Linked DNA regions of Ovis aries. The protein of the gene in region 1 interacts with the protein of each later gene in a pairwise test. Links are inferred from orthologs where the notes say so. Each region holds a gene or a part of one and is shown on either strand. Other genes may lie near its edges.

Evidence for each region.
Region 2: the proteins of DMRTB1 (region 1) and PKP2 interact in a two-hybrid assay, tested with the Homo sapiens proteins (2 studies listed by BioGRID). The link is inferred for Ovis aries from reciprocal best matches to the Homo sapiens genes DMRTB1 and PKP2.

Annotation. Positions count from the first base shown.
Region 1 is NC_056054.1:27,981,637-27,985,755, reverse strand, and holds the start of DMRTB1 (doublesex- and mab-3-related transcription factor B1), read right to left. Parts: upstream 2,806-4,119; 5' UTR 2,485-2,805; coding exon 1,899-2,484; intron 292-1,898; coding exon 86-291; intron 1-85.
Region 2 is NC_056056.1:182,586,467-182,589,983, reverse strand, and holds part of PKP2 (plakophilin-2), read right to left. Parts: intron 1,881-3,517; coding exon 1,763-1,880; intron 919-1,762; coding exon 757-918; intron 1-756. UniProt on the Homo sapiens protein: A component of desmosome cell-cell junctions which are required for positive regulation of cellular adhesion.

The DNA.
Region 1 (4,119 bases):
CTGGCTGCCTGGGAGAAAGTCTGTTAAAGCAGCCAGGGCAGCTGAAATAGGGAGGAACTTCGAAAATATCAGGAATGGGACTCACCAAGCCTCCTCCATAGTAGTGGCTATAGGACAGGTGCTGGAAACTCTGCTGCAGAGGGATCCCCACACTTGGGGACGCATCCTGGTAGCCCAGAGGAAAAGGGCGGTAGGGGTGCATGCTGGAGCAGCTGGGGTACAGCTTGGGAGGTTCTCTCTCCAGGCACTCAGACCCCACCACAGAATCTGAGTTGATGCTCAGAGGGAGCCCTGAAAAGACATGCAACGAGGGAAGTGTTAAAAACACATGGAGCTAGAAAAAAGGGCACCATATTATCGTCTGAAGGTAGCAGTATAAATAAACACTCATATCCATTCACAGACAACTCCCATATCCATTATGCTTTTGATCCTCCCTGCTTTTTAAACCCTTCAACCATGTTCTGTTGCCCTCAGCAAAAGTCCTTGGCCCAGCCATGAAGCCCACGCAGACTGCATTCCTGCCTTCACTCCAGCCTCACTGTCTGATCACTAGTAGCGCCTTCTTTCTCCTCCACCTCAGGGCCTCTGCAGATGCTGTCCCCTCTGCTTGGAAGGCTTTTTTTCCTAACTCCACTTGCCTTCTTGAATCCTCAGTGCTCAGCTCCTGATCTTCCTTCAGACCACAGCTAAACCACTGGTTATTAGAGTTCTCTGTGATGTCCTTTTCTTTCACAAGGACAAGATCCTTGAGGGCAAGGAATCTGACTCACCCCTCTTCACCTTTTCATCACTAGTGCTGGGCACACAGTGCTCAGTTGATGGAACAAAGAAAGGCTCCATATCCGTAGAAAGGTATCCTTCTCCTAGAACTGCTTTTCAGATCTGTCTTCCTCATCTAGTTCTCTAGGGACCTATATTTTCCTAGAACGTCCCAGAAGGCAGAACTGGCCTTCGGAGAGCATCAAGCCAATCCCCTTAGCCTACAGAGGGGCGAGGCTGTCACAGAAGGAAGGAACTTGCCTTAGATTACCAAGTGAGCAGCCCCTCAGCGTCCTGACTCAGACTTGCGCTCTTTCTACCACACTGCCATAGAGAAAACCAGAAAACACGTGTCTGCACCCAAAATGAGCCCCTTTTTAAAAGTCTCAAACCTACATGTGACTTGAAATTATAATAGTGAAAGTTACAATACCTAGGGAACAATGTAATTTATGCATGTGGAGGGAGGAGAGAAAAACAGCAACCACGTCTCAATAGACTGTTCTCTTGTAGGGAGCAGAAAAGAGGTCTCATTCCCATCCATGCCTGGGAAACAGGTGGGAAGAACGCCCATACACAGCCATTGGGCCAGAGCACGGCTGAGGAGCAAGCTGACTAGGGCACAGAAGATGGGGGAGGGGTGGGCGGAGGGACGCAGGTGCAGTCATAAGGCGCTGGCCCACCCACGAGGACGTTCTGGGGGAGGAGCCTCCAGCACCAGAAAAGGGTGGGAAGAGTTGCGCAAGCGCAATATGGCCACTCTCCCGCGATCCCCTCTGTTGGGAGGAGGAGCCTCAGCTAAGCAGACTGGGGGGCCATTTTTTTTGTGTGTGTGCGGCCATTTTTTTTTTCTCCCGGAATGGGAAAGCAGAGACTATAGCTAAATGTTTTTTAAAATTACCCCCTCAGAACCACCCATTCCTTTCTCTCTTTTTACCTTCTTGCAAAAAGGCACCAAACCCAAATGCCTACTCAGAAAAAGGTATCCCGAAGCAAGATTCCCTCTAGAAAGCATCTTCCCACCCCCACCCCAAGGGCCCATACGCGCGGCTGGCCTGGGACGCCAGAGTGAGGGAAGTGGGGAGGCGGAGAGGAACCAACAGCGGGACAAAGGCTCAGGGCACCGGGAATCTTACCGAAGTCGGTGAACGGCGGGCTCGGCACAGGCCGCGGCAGCCTGCGCAGCTCCAGGCAGCCGGGGTAGCCCCGGCCGGCGGCCTCCGCCGTCAGCTGGGGCTCCAGAGAGCTGGGCCTGGCCCTGGCTGCTTGTTCGCTCAGGCCCACGTGGCCGCGGTTGTGGCCGCCCAGAACTGGCTGGAAGGCACTCGGGCTGGGGCTCTGGCCCCGCGGGGGCCTCTCAGGGAGGCAGGCGGCCGCTTGGCCCGAAGGGCCCGGCTGCGCGTCTCCCAAAGGGGCAAGCGGAAGCAGCGGGCAGAAGCTTGGGCCTGGGGTGGCGGCCGCGCCCCCGGGGGCCAGCTGGGGTCCCTGTGCGCACAGGGCCACCTCCTGCTCCTCTCCAGAGGCCTGCTTCTTGAGCATCTTTTGTGCAGCCACGATCTTCTGGCGCTCGGTGATCAAGTAGCACTTCTCGCAGGTGCACTGCTTCCAGCGGCACTTGCCCGCGTGGCCCTTGACTGGTACCAGGAAGCCATGGTTCCGGCACCGCGAGCACTTGGGGGTACGAAGCATCTTCTTGGCCTGCTTTGTAAGGTCTGCATTCATAGCACAACCGTCTCCTCTGAAAGCTTCAGGGACAGTGAAACAGAGAGAAGCAGTCCGCCCAAGTCCCTGGTGCTGGGAGCTTTGGATACACTTGTAACAAGGTGGTGTTCAGTGCGTCCCAGGAGCTGCAGCAAGACCCTTGCATTCTCTCTTTTCTTTGGTGCAAAATTTGGAGAGGTTCTGTGCCTTGGTTAACAAGATGCAAAGGATTGGGTTGAATAAGTTCTTCAAGTAATGCTATTGCATGTATGTCATCTGGGTTAGCTGAGTCTTATGCATGTAATTTCCAAACTTTCTCTTCCTGCCGTACGGTATACAGAAGGTATTTCATGATTAAAAAAAAAAAAAAAAAAAAGGCGGAGTGATACTCAAGGATTCACAGATTCAAAACTCCAGAGGAACGCAGCTGTTGGTAAACCTGTTGCAGTAGAAAAGGATTCCAAGTGTCAAACCGTGTTTCTCCATACAGAAGCTGCTGCTTCTGTTTAATTTCACTTTTTTCCCCTACAGAGAAGCAACTGTTCACAGTGATGCTTCCAGAATATTCTCAGGAGCTCAGTGCGGTGTGATGGTTGCTCAAGGGTGTGCCTTTAGAGTAATTACCATTTTTAAAGTCTAGTTGGTATAGGAATGCATCTCTGGAAGTGGCATATTGCAGTTGATGCCTTCCAAAGAAAAGCATACTTAGAATGATTTAAAGTAAAAGGGACTTAGGATATTTTAGCATGAGCTTGAACCAGTACTTAATTGTGCCATGAATTCAGTTATTCCTGTAAAGCAACCCAAATCTTGGGACACCTGCAAAGCTGCCATAACTTCATAGTTTTCCCAAGACTGCTAAGCTAATTCATTTTCTTGTTTGATAGAAATTCGTGACACCCTGATGTCTCCCCCCCCCACTCCCCCGCTTAGGTCCCAAAAAGAAAGAAAGGAAAAAACAAACAAACAAACGTCATCATAGGATTAATCATTACCTTTAAGGGGGTTCAGTTCAGTTCAGTTTAGTCGCTCAGTCGTGTCCGACTCTTTGCGACCCCATGAATCACAGTATGCCAGGCCTCCCTGTCCATCACCATCTCCCGGAGTTCACTCAGACTCATGTCCATCGAGTCAGTGATGCCATCCAGCCATCTCATCCTCTGTCGTCCCCTTCTCCTCCTGCCCCCAATCCCTCCCAGCATCAGAGTCTTTTCCAATGAGTCAACTCTTCGCATGAGGTGGCCAAAGTACTGGAATTTCAGCTTTAGCATCATTCCTTCCAAAGAAATCCCAGGGCTGATCTCCTTCAGAATGGACTGGCTGGATCTCCTTGCAGTCCAAGGGACTCTCAAGAGTCTTCTCCAACACCACAGTTCAAACGCATCAATTCTTTGGCGCTCAGCCTTCTTCACAGTCCAACTCTCACATCCATACAAATACCTGGCTAAAATGTGTATTTTTTAATTGTCCTTTCGCTGAAGTTTTCCGTACCTGGTAACAGAATGGTAGAAGTGAGAGCCAAGGCCTGGTGTTCACCTTGATCTTCCTGAGCCGCTGGTTGCAGGTGTACTTTGCATTTCTCACCAACTACCTGACAATAGGAAATGGTTGCCATTCTGAGGCTGATTATATACTGGAAAGCTGAAAAGATGTTTG
Region 2 (3,517 bases), on another chromosome or scaffold:
ATAAGAACTTAACTATTAAAAAGGCACACATGTATGATTTACAATCACTTAACTTTTAGCCCATGATGATTATTTCTCCCTCACCGTGAGAGAGAATAACAGAGAATTAACCAAAGACTGTTCTAGAATATTTTTCAGGTTGCTGATAAGCTAAAAGCTAAATTATCACAACTGCTCTGAAGATAAGAAAAACAGGCCTCTTCTCAGAGTCTTGTGAAGTTGTCCAGGATAGCATCAGGATTCTAAATTTACCAAGTATTCTACAAGTTCATCAACACAGTGGTACTCTGAGGAGTAGGAGAGATCACATTCCTTCAATTTTCATAAAATGCCAGTCTGGAAGGTGTCCTTCCTATGCGGTTTGCTTTTAGGATATCTTGTTTGTTTTCTAGAACATTTAAAGCTGAATGTCTAGGCTTCTTTTAATGTTAAGACAATGCTATACCACTGGCCACATGGTATTAAGTTTACTTCCTAAACTGTGGGGCACAGAGCATATGGTTTGATGGCTAACAATGTAAATCTGGGGCCAGATTGCCTGGGATGGAATTCTATCTCCTTTACTAACTTGCTGAATTATTTTGGAAAAATCAATTAACTTTTTTGTATCTCTGTTTCCTCATCAGTAAAGGAAGATATTAATACACCTCATAGGACTGATACAAAGATTAAAGGAACTTAAAGTAGAGCCTGACATACACTAAGTACTTAGAAATACACACGCACACTTTTTCTTTCAAAGACTTCCCAATATACCTGTTTTACTTTTCTGCTTCGACTGCCAAAACACCCAATGCTTTTGTTGTCAGCCTGGATATTCCGGTTTTGAATATAAATATTCTGGGAATATTTCTCTGGGAGTTCTGCCTCCAGCTGGTAGGAAAGGTTATGGAGAATGCACACACAGTTCTCTGTGGCCTGAGAAACAGGACAAGAATATTGATTATATATATGTATATACAGGTAACTTCGCAGGTATCATATCACAGAACTTCTGAGGCTTTAGATCTTACAAGGTTAACTGGATGCAACAGGGTGTGCCTGGACTACGGGGTGCCTGGGGGAGTGACATAAGTATGGCTAGAAAGGCTAGGGTTAAATCATAAATGGTCATGAGCACAATGCTAAGAAATAGAGGCTAAATTTTTTAAAACATTGGTTTTTACAGTGTGTTCAGAATGATTTTATATTTTAGGTATATTGCTTACCAGCCATGGGAGTTGGAAAACAGGAGGAGATAATACTTATAGGGATCAATCAGGAGTTGACGACAATAATCAGTATGAAAGATGCACAAATTAGGATAGCAGTAGTAGCATTAAAGAAGAGTGGTTAAACTATAGAGTATTTCAGAAGTAGAATGCACATGATTTGTTGTCCAGAGGATGTGGGATGTGATGGAAGAGAAGAAGTCCTAGATTACTTAGATTTTTATTTTCACTTGGTAGATGGTGATAAATATTAAGAGGGATTATACAGAGGAGCAAGTTTGGGGATGAAGGAAGAGGTGAATTTCATTGCTGAAAATGTAGCATCTAAGTTCCTTTCAAATATCTAGAGGTGTTAAACAGTTTGAAATTTGGGTCTGGAAAGTAGAAAGAAAAACTGGACTATATAGATTTTAAAATTTATGAGCATGTATGGGAAATCTTAAGCTCAACAAATGAGTTAATGAATAAAGTCAAACCCAAGCAGCTACTTCAAGAATACTCTGAAGTCTTAGTAAGACAAAATAATGAGAGATATCTAACTCTTAAATCACCTTGTCATCTGGCTGGTAATCTGCAATGGTGCCTCTGACATAATGGACCAGTGAGTCAATCAGTCCATCACACCTCCTCATCACCTTTCTCCCTTCAGGGCCAGCTGAACTCATATTTCTATTAGGAAAAACAAACAAACAATTAGTCATAAGATTTAGGCTTAAGTGGTCATGTATGGAAGCGAGAGTTGGACTACGAAGAAAGCTGAGCGCTGAAGAATTGATGCTTTTGAATTGTGGTGTTGGAGAAGACTCTTAGAGTCCCTTGGACTGCAAGGAGATTCAACCAGTCCATTCTGAAGGAGATCAGCCCTGGGATTTCTTTGGAAGGAATGATGCTGAAGCTGAAACTCCAGTACTTTGGCCACCTCATGTAAAGAATTGACTCATTGGAAAAGACTCTGATGCTGGGAAGGATTGGGGGCAGGAGAAGAAGGGGACGACAGAGGATGAGATGGCTGGATGGCATCACCGACTCGACGGACGTGAGTGAACTCCGGGAGTTGGTGATGGACAGGGAGGCCTGGTGTGCTGTGATTCATGGGGTTGCAAAGAGTCGGACACGACTGAGCGACTGAACTGAACTGAACTGAAGATATACTCAGGCTGTGTATCTAATAGGTTTTTGTTTCAAAGCTTTACTTTTGTTTCAAAGTTTCTTCCAAGGGAAAACTGGAAAATTTGTCCAAGTATGACAGACTTGTCCTAGACTCAATAAGTCACCAATTGCCTACAGTCATCAACTCTGGACACAACTTAATAAATATATTCATAACACATCATTGTGTAATGTAAGCCTTCTGTCTACTTCATTCCAAGCACCAGAGTATTATTTACTTAATCTTCACCCTATTTTTGAAAGGGTATAAATATATGAGGAAAACGTCTTACAGTTAAAAGTAGAATAAATGGCACATTAGCTGTAGTAATACACTACATGTTCAAGTCTCAACTTATTCTGTGCCTTAATTCTAATTAAATTAAAATTTCTTAAATTCTCTGGGCCTTAGTTTCCTCATTTGTAAATACCGAGTGTTAGACTATAACATTTGGAGGTTTTCCAGGCTTCAGCATAAACTGTTACTGACAAATATTAAACCAAATGCTCTAAAATGTGATGATTCTATAATTAAAATGACAGAGAGATGCCATGAAAAATGCAGTTTCACAGTGTATAAGACCTAAGTTACAAGCCTGACCTATAAGCATCTTTGCACTTAGTCTATTTCTAATTTGGCTAAGCCATGACACCTTTCTATAAATAGTAACTAAATCTACATGTGAAAAGTGCTTCTTTATAGACACTGAAGGTTATCAAATACAGTAAAGTAATATATTTAGGGATCATATTTCAGATTCAGATAATGTTTTTATGTTGGTATTACTATGTCCCTTTGAATTAATTTTTCTTGTCAGCATTAACTATTAAAAAAAATTTTTTTTCCAAAAATTTTAGCAGTTCTATAAACAAGAATGACAAAAGAACGACTTCAGGTTTCTAGAATTTTGAAAACCACCCTCATTCTCTTTTGCTAACTTCATTGGCTAAGAACTATTCCTATAAAATTTATCAGACCAGCTCCCTTCACTGTAGGCAGAACATTACAAAGCATATTCTTTTTGTGTATAATGTCTCAGTGTGATACTGAACACTGAAAGAACTACAATTCTGAGAACTTTGGGGGTCATATTTTCTTCATCTTTAATATACTGTAGTAAGTGATTTAAAAAAGCCTTTCTGTCCCCAAATACTGT